2 linked regions of the Mus musculus genome follow. The protein of the gene in region 1 binds, or shares a complex with, the protein of each later gene. Links are inferred from orthologs where the notes say so. Each region holds a gene or a part of one and is shown in the gene's direction. Other genes may lie near its edges.

The links.
Region 2: Lrp5 (region 1) and Fzd8 share a complex: the UniProt entries of both Homo sapiens proteins name them as parts of the wnt-signaling complex. The link is inferred for Mus musculus from reciprocal best matches to the Homo sapiens genes LRP5 and FZD8.

The regions. Positions count from the first base shown.
Region 1 is NC_000085.6:3,683,672-3,687,576, reverse strand, and holds the start of Lrp5 (low-density lipoprotein receptor-related protein 5 precursor), read left to right. Parts: upstream 1-1,012; 5' UTR 1,013-1,134; coding exon 1,135-1,222; intron 1,223-3,905. UniProt on the Homo sapiens protein: Acts as a coreceptor with members of the frizzled family of seven-transmembrane spanning receptors to transduce signal by Wnt proteins.
Region 2 is NC_000084.6:9,212,053-9,215,932, forward strand, and holds the start of Fzd8 (frizzled-8 precursor), read left to right. Parts: upstream 1-803; 5' UTR 804-867; coding exon 868-2,925; 3' UTR 2,926-3,880. UniProt on the Homo sapiens protein: Receptor for Wnt proteins. Component of the Wnt-Fzd-LRP5-LRP6 complex that triggers beta-catenin signaling through inducing aggregation of receptor-ligand complexes into ribosome-sized signalosomes.

The DNA.
Region 1 (3,905 bases):
CTGCCTTTTGCTCCTTCTGTTTATCAGGTCCGGTTTATGCAGCGCTGGGAGAGCTGTGCACACTAGGGAACCAAGGGCTCTATCAACTCTTTTTAAACAGGGTCTCGCAGGTAGCCCAGGCTGGCCTCAAACTCATGGCAAGCCTCCTGCCTCAATCTCCCGAGGCTGGACACCATGTCAGACTTATAAGTAAAGTCATACACACTTGAGCGCCATGTCACTTTCCCGGCTACTCACTCCTTTGTTTGGGCTCTTATTTTTGTCTCTTCCTAGCATAAACCACAGGAGGGCAGAGGCACCCTCCTGACCACCTCAGCTTCTGTCCTTCCTCTCTACCTTGCAAGGTGGACACTGCCATTAGCTTACTTTCTAAGGACATGAAATGATTTCACCTACACCTGCCTGCCCAAGGTGTGAGGTTCTAGAAAGCACTGCCGGAGAGAGAAGGCTCAGCAGTTAGAAGCACTTACTGCTCTTTTAGAGACCTGGGTTTGGTTCCCTGCAGTCACCTGGTGGCTCACACCTCTAACTCCAGTCCCAGGGGACCCCCACACCCTATTCTGGTTTCCTTCCCGCATGTGGTGCACATACATGCGTGCAAACACTCATACACATACAACAAAAAGTAAATCTAAAAGTAAAAGCCCCCAGTTCCTCCAGCAGTATCCGCTTTTGCGCCTGTTCCCGCGTGCATCCCAAGTGGGGCGGTATGTCTCTGGGCCAGGTGGCTACAGTTGTGGTGAAAGAGCCCAAAGCTGGCTTCGGAGACCTTTGGCTTCCAGCCCTGAGGCCTCCTGACTGTGTGGGTCATGCTTCCACGTGCCTCAGTTTCCTCACCTGTCAGTACAGAGACTTGGCAGGTGACCCACCTGCTTGCCCGGCCTCTCCTGTCGCGGGCCCGGAGAGACCCGCCTGCCCGGCTCCCGGGCGCCCGCAGGAGGGCGCGGCTTGGCGGGGGGCGCGGGCGGCGCGGGGGGCGGAGACCGGCTCGGCTTCCGCTCCCTCCTCCCGCGTCGTCTTGGGCCGCGGCGCCCGAGGCGGGAGCAAGAGGCGCCGGGAGCCGCGAGGATCCACCGCCGCCGCGCGCGCCATGGAGCCCGAGTGAGCGCGCGGCGCTCCCGGCCGCCGGACGACATGGAAACGGCGCCGACCCGGGCCCCTCCGCCGCCGCCGCCGCCGCTGCTGCTGCTGGTGCTGTACTGCAGCTTGGTCCCCGCCGCGGGTAAGGTGGGCGCGGGGGACAATGGCCGGGGCCGCAAGCAGCCACTTTGCAAGTTGCGGACGAGTTGGAGCGCGCTCCGGGGGACCACGCGCCGGGGGACCTCGCGCGGGCCCTTTGTCTCTCCCGCCGGGGCCCCTCCCTGGGGACCGAGCCCGCCAGGTGCGGCGCGGGCGGGCCCTCACCTGCCCAAGGCTCGGGACGCCGGGCGCGCTCAGGAGTGCGCCCACGGGCATCGCGATGGCCCGGGACAGGCCTGGCCTATCGCGAACTACTGGGAAAACTTTTCGCGAGCCTGCTTGCGGCGGCCGGCCTACCGAGCCCTGGGAAGTGCCAGAAGTTGCTAGCTAGGAAGTTCGGAGAGCCCTGCGCGGGGCGGCCTGGCCCTGGGCTGCTGTCGCTTTGACCTGCGTGGGCTGTCAGCCTTCCAAACCGACTGACACCTGCCAGGTGTCCCCGTGACCCCAGTGACCCATCTGACCGCTCGGGCCCCCAAGCGGTGGCCAGGCACCCAGCCCCGCTGACCAGTGCCCAGCCCCGAGATCGGTTGCGTGGGTGCCTTGGTGTGGGGAGGTATGGTTCTGCCTCAGTTGGACCCACCTTTAGGGAAGTGGCCCGCTCGGGAACTTTCTAACTTTTTTTTGGTGTGTCCTGAGGGGTGGAGCTGAGGTCAGGAGGACTCTCGAGAAACGAAGCAGTTGGAAACGCTACACATGTTCTTTTAATTCGGAGATTGCCATGTGGTTTTTAAAGCAAGGCTCTTGCCACCTAAATCATTGTTTTCGGGTGTTTGTGTTTTGTTTTTCTGGAGTGTGGCTGTCCAAGGGTCCGGCAGATACTCTTGAACTCCCGGGTGGTGGTGATGGCAGTTTGGGGCGGGGTAGGGGACAACCTCAGGTCCCTTTGTCTGGGCCTTATTAAGGCGAACAGCTGTCCCCCTGTGTATTTCCAGGGTAGACACTTGAGGGAGGTGGCTGGGCCTGGCTCTGTGCTCAGATTCCCTGGGCTGCAGTCTCTTCCACCTATGTTTGGGGGGAGGGGTCGAGGGGAGCTGGCTTCATCCAGTCTTGGAGCTCTCAAGCTCAGCCAGAGGGCTCTTGGGGAGTCTCCCCCTAAATTTGTCTCCCTCGGGATCATGTTTACATTTTCAGGCCATCTCTGGTGTTAGCAAAACAAGGCGAAGACAAAACTGTGACAGGCTGTGGGAAGTCCAGGCCAGTTCTACTCTTCCCGGAAATGCCTGGGTCGTGACTGCAGAAGGGGTATGGGGCAGCTATTTGTTTTAAAGGTGGGGTTTGTAAGCCGACTTTCCTGTCCTAGGTAGGATTGACATTACTCTGGGATCCCCTAGCCTGTCATCTGGTATCCCAAATTGAACATCTTTATAGTTTGGTGGTGTGTGCGGCAAAAATAGAGTCGATTATTTTAACATTAGGAAGCCAGGCCCCAGGAGTACCAGCTGATGGGGTAGTCCAGGCCTAAAATGGAAGCAAAGAGAAGAATCTTCCTGAAGCTCTTATTTGAGTGTTTTTGGCTGTGCGACCCCCAAATGTCTGTCTGAGATTCTTGCTTTGGGAGTCTGGAGAGAAGGGAGTGAGTGGGCAGCTAATTATTTTTCCTGATTGCTTCCTGTTGCAAATTGAAGCTGTGAGCCCACAGAAAAGCCTTTGTTCTAGTGGTCCCTGAATTCCCCATTCTGGAAGCCCTAGGCTTTCCTTCTCACCGCCTAAAGCACTCACTTGTCCCTGGACCAGCCTAGCCTGTCTGGCCCCCTGGAGGAGGTTCCTGCAGTTGTGGGCTGTCTACCCCTGGGAGGGCCCAGCCAGCACATGTTGGGTTATATTGGGTTAAATGCTGAGCAGAGTCCCCTCTGTGCAAGAAATTACCCAGGCAACCTGTTTGTCCTAAGCTTCTCTGGGGAAAGCCACCTCCTGGCCCCAACATAGTTGGAACCCTTTTTATTTTGACTACACAGTGTCATTACTCAGGCATCTAGCAGAATTTGCACAGGGGTGTGGGGGTGGGGTACAGCCAGGTGAGGACTCTGTCACCTGCTTTGCAAGTGGGTGCCCCAGGGTTGGAGCAGGAGGTGATCATCTGACCAAGGTGTTTTGTTTTGTTTTTGAGGCATAGTTTCTCTGTGTAGCTCTAGTTGTCTTGGAACTCCCTTTGTAGACCAGGCTGGCCTCCAACACAAAGATCCACCTGCCTGTGCTTCCTGAGTGATGGATTAAAGGCATGGGCTACCACCACCCAGCTCTATAGGGTTTTCATGTCCAGTTGCTGTTTGTCTTTGGGAGGCTTACATAGCCTCTCTGTGCTGAGTCCTCTCTTCTCTTATATCGTTCGGTGGGAAGCATTTGGTACATGCAGCCCAGGTCTGGGGTAGTGGTGGCAGAGCTTTGAGGACAGTTGTGTGTCATGGCCTTTGATCTGGCCTGGGAATTCTGGAGCTGTTGTTACATGGTTTGGGTTTTTTTTTTTTCCTTTTTGTATGTTCATATGTGTGCATGCCTGTGCATGTAAAGGTCAGAGGTCAGCCTTCAGTGGTTTTCCTCAGGAGTCGTCATGTGCATATGGAAATTAAAGGTCAACCCGGGGAAGTGCTTCTCAAGAACCATCTACCTTGTTCTTTGAGACAAGGTCTCTCACTGGAACTTGGGTCTCACTGATTGATAAACCTCTG
Region 2 (3,880 bases), on another chromosome or scaffold:
CCTTGAGAACGCGGATACTCCGCCCTGTTGCGCAGGGATTGGTGAACCCAGAAGAGGGAGGAGACCAAGTGCAGGCTGTATAAATATTCATGAGCCGGCCGGGAGGCGCTAGCAGACTAAAGCCGGGAAGTTGGGCGAAGGGCGCAGCTCCTGCGGAGGAGGCGGAGGCTGGGACCAAGGTGCTCAGGTGTCCTCTCTGTCTTTTGCTCTGGATTTGTTTGTCGATCTAGCAAGAAAGCACGTCCTGCACCCCGCCCGACTGTGGCCAGAACGCGGCGTGGACTTTTGGTGGCGGCAGATACAAGAGGACCGACGCAGGAGTGAGAAGGCTGCGGCCTGACTAGAGGAGGGCCCGGAACTCTGGCAGTGGCGGCGCGGCCTGGAACGGACATGAACCCTCCGGGCCCGAAGAGGGGCCTCTAGGTCTGACCCGAGAGTCTAGAGGCCAGACACAGCCATCTTGACTGAGGCCAGAAAGGAAACTTGAGCCGCGTCGTCCTCCGAGTCTTCGCTGCTGGGAGCCACACGAAGTGTCTGAGCGTGCAGAAGGTCCTACACGAACTCGGGAGGATGAGCCCGGGGGCCACCACTCCGCTCCGGGAGGACTGAGTGCGACTCAGGGGGCGCGGGACAGACCCTGTGGAATTGTGGCGCGTTGGCGGTCACCCCAGGAGAGGCGTGGGGGAGGGCCGGACGACTCCAGCCTAGGTTTCCAACCCTGCTGCCTGAAAAGGAGATAGACTGTTGCTATTCTCCTCTGCAGAGAAAAGTGGGACACGACCCGCTCTCCCTTTTCTCAGATTCCTCACTGCAGAGCCCTCCTGCGCGCCGCCTAGAGAAGGAGGACTTGGGGTCCCAGCGCGCAGCATGGAGTGGGGTTACCTGTTGGAAGTGACCTCGCTCCTAGCCGCCTTGGCGGTGCTACAGCGCTCTAGCGGCGCTGCCGCGGCTTCGGCCAAGGAGCTGGCGTGCCAAGAGATCACGGTGCCGTTGTGCAAAGGCATCGGTTACAACTACACTTACATGCCCAACCAGTTCAACCACGACACGCAAGATGAGGCGGGCCTAGAGGTGCACCAGTTTTGGCCGCTGGTGGAGATACAGTGCTCCCCGGACCTCAAGTTCTTTCTGTGTAGCATGTACACGCCCATCTGCCTGGAGGACTACAAGAAGCCTCTGCCGCCTTGTCGCTCTGTGTGTGAACGCGCCAAGGCCGGCTGCGCGCCGCTCATGCGCCAGTACGGCTTTGCTTGGCCTGACCGCATGCGCTGCGATCGGTTGCCGGAGCAGGGCAACCCGGACACTCTGTGCATGGACTACAACCGCACCGACCTCACCACGGCCGCGCCCAGCCCACCGCGCCGCCTGCCTCCGCCGCCTCCTCCCGGCGAGCAGCCGCCCTCTGGCAGCGGCCACAGCCGCCCGCCAGGGGCCAGGCCCCCACATCGTGGCGGCAGCAGTAGGGGCAGCGGGGACGCGGCGGCTGCGCCCCCTTCGCGCGGCGGGAAGGCGAGGCCCCCTGGTGGCGGCGCTGCTCCCTGCGAGCCGGGGTGCCAGTGCCGCGCGCCCATGGTGAGCGTGTCCAGCGAACGCCACCCGCTCTACAACCGCGTCAAGACCGGCCAGATCGCCAACTGTGCGCTGCCCTGCCACAACCCCTTCTTTAGCCAGGATGAGCGCGCCTTCACCGTCTTCTGGATCGGCCTGTGGTCGGTGCTCTGCTTCGTCTCCACCTTCGCCACTGTCTCTACCTTCCTCATCGATATGGAGCGCTTTAAGTACCCGGAACGGCCCATCATATTCCTCTCCGCCTGTTACCTCTTCGTGTCTGTCGGGTACCTGGTGCGCCTGGTGGCAGGACATGAGAAAGTGGCCTGCAGCGGCGGCGCTCCGGGTGCTGGCGGAGCTGGGGGTGCGGGCGGCGCGGCGGCGGCTGGCGCAGGGGCAGCGGGAGCGGGGGCGAGCAGCCCGGGCGCGCGCGGCGAGTACGAGGAGCTGGGTGCAGTCGAGCAGCATGTTCGCTATGAAACCACTGGCCCCGCGCTGTGCACGGTGGTCTTTCTCCTTGTCTACTTTTTTGGCATGGCCAGCTCCATCTGGTGGGTAATCCTGTCGCTCACGTGGTTCTTGGCAGCTGGCATGAAGTGGGGTAATGAGGCCATAGCAGGCTACTCGCAGTACTTCCACCTGGCCGCGTGGCTTGTGCCCAGCGTCAAGTCCATCGCGGTGCTGGCGCTCAGCTCCGTAGACGGCGACCCGGTGGCGGGCATCTGCTACGTGGGCAACCAGAGCCTTGACAACCTACGCGGCTTTGTGCTGGCGCCACTGGTTATCTACCTCTTCATTGGGACTATGTTTCTGTTAGCTGGCTTCGTGTCGCTGTTCCGAATCCGTTCAGTCATCAAGCAGCAAGGAGGCCCAACTAAGACACACAAGCTAGAAAAACTCATGATCCGCTTGGGCCTCTTCACCGTGCTCTACACGGTGCCCGCTGCCGTCGTTGTCGCCTGCCTTTTCTATGAGCAGCACAACCGACCGCGCTGGGAGGCCACGCACAACTGCCCATGCCTTCGGGACCTGCAACCGGACCAGGCTCGCAGGCCCGATTACGCGGTCTTCATGCTCAAGTACTTCATGTGCCTAGTAGTGGGCATCACATCGGGCGTGTGGGTCTGGTCCGGCAAGACTCTGGAGTCCTGGCGCGCGTTGTGCACTAGGTGCTGCTGGGCCAGCAAGGGCGCTGCAGTAGGCGCGGGCGCTGGAGGCAGCGGCCCTGGGGGCAGTGGACCCGGGCCCGGCGGAGGTGGGGGACACGGCGGAGGCGGGGGATCCCTCTACAGCGACGTCAGTACCGGCCTGACGTGGCGGTCTGGCACGGCCAGCTCTGTATCTTACCCTAAGCAAATGCCATTGTCCCAGGTCTGAACCCTACGTGGATGCCCAGAAGGGGCGGAGAGGAGTGGGGGGATGGAGAACCCGTGGGCGGCGAAGGGACCCCAGACCGGCCAGGGTTCCCACCCCTTCCCAGTGTTGACTGCTATTAGCATGATAATGAACTCTTAATGGTATCCATTAGCAGCGGGGACTTAAATGACTCCCTTAGAACAAAGTACCTGGCATTGAAGCCTCCCAGACTTAGCCCCTCCTCTCTGATGCCCCAGCACTTACCCCAGACAATGGTTTCAGTGGGTTAGGATAGTTGGAACCCTCCTGGATACCCTGGATGAGTCTTGAGGGTACACTACACTACACCGCAGACTTCATCCAAGGTCCTGCTTCACCCTCGACTTCATCTGCATCAATTCATGCCCTCATACACCCTAGAGGAGGGACAACTGCTACCTTGTGGGACTGCACAGTTTGGGTATTCTTAATGACCAGGCAGATGCCTTAAATAAACAAGAAATGTCTTAATTATACACCCCAAGTAAATACGGGTTTCTTACATTAAAGGATGTATTTATATAATTATTTGTTAGGTTGTAAAAAAAAAGTGTAAAATATGTATATATCCAAAGATATACAATGTGTACATTACTTGTAAAAAGTTTAGAGGCTACCCTGTAAGAACAAATATAAGTATTCTATTTTGTCAATAAAAAGACTTTTGATAAATGATTTAAGTACCACCCTGTCCCCCACCTCTCCTGAACTGTTCCCCTTATGCTTGCTGAGGACATGTGAGGAAATGGAAATTTTCTGGCTTGCCATTTTGTACTGACAGTAGACCTGTTAACCTCTAATTCTTAAACTGTTAGCAAAGTAAATGTCATTGTTGAAATGAAATCAAAATCGCGTTTTTGCACTTTCCCCAAAAATGATGTTTTTCATGGTCTCTCCTTGCTGACCTATGGGTTACAGCTCTTCATGGTGTGTGTGG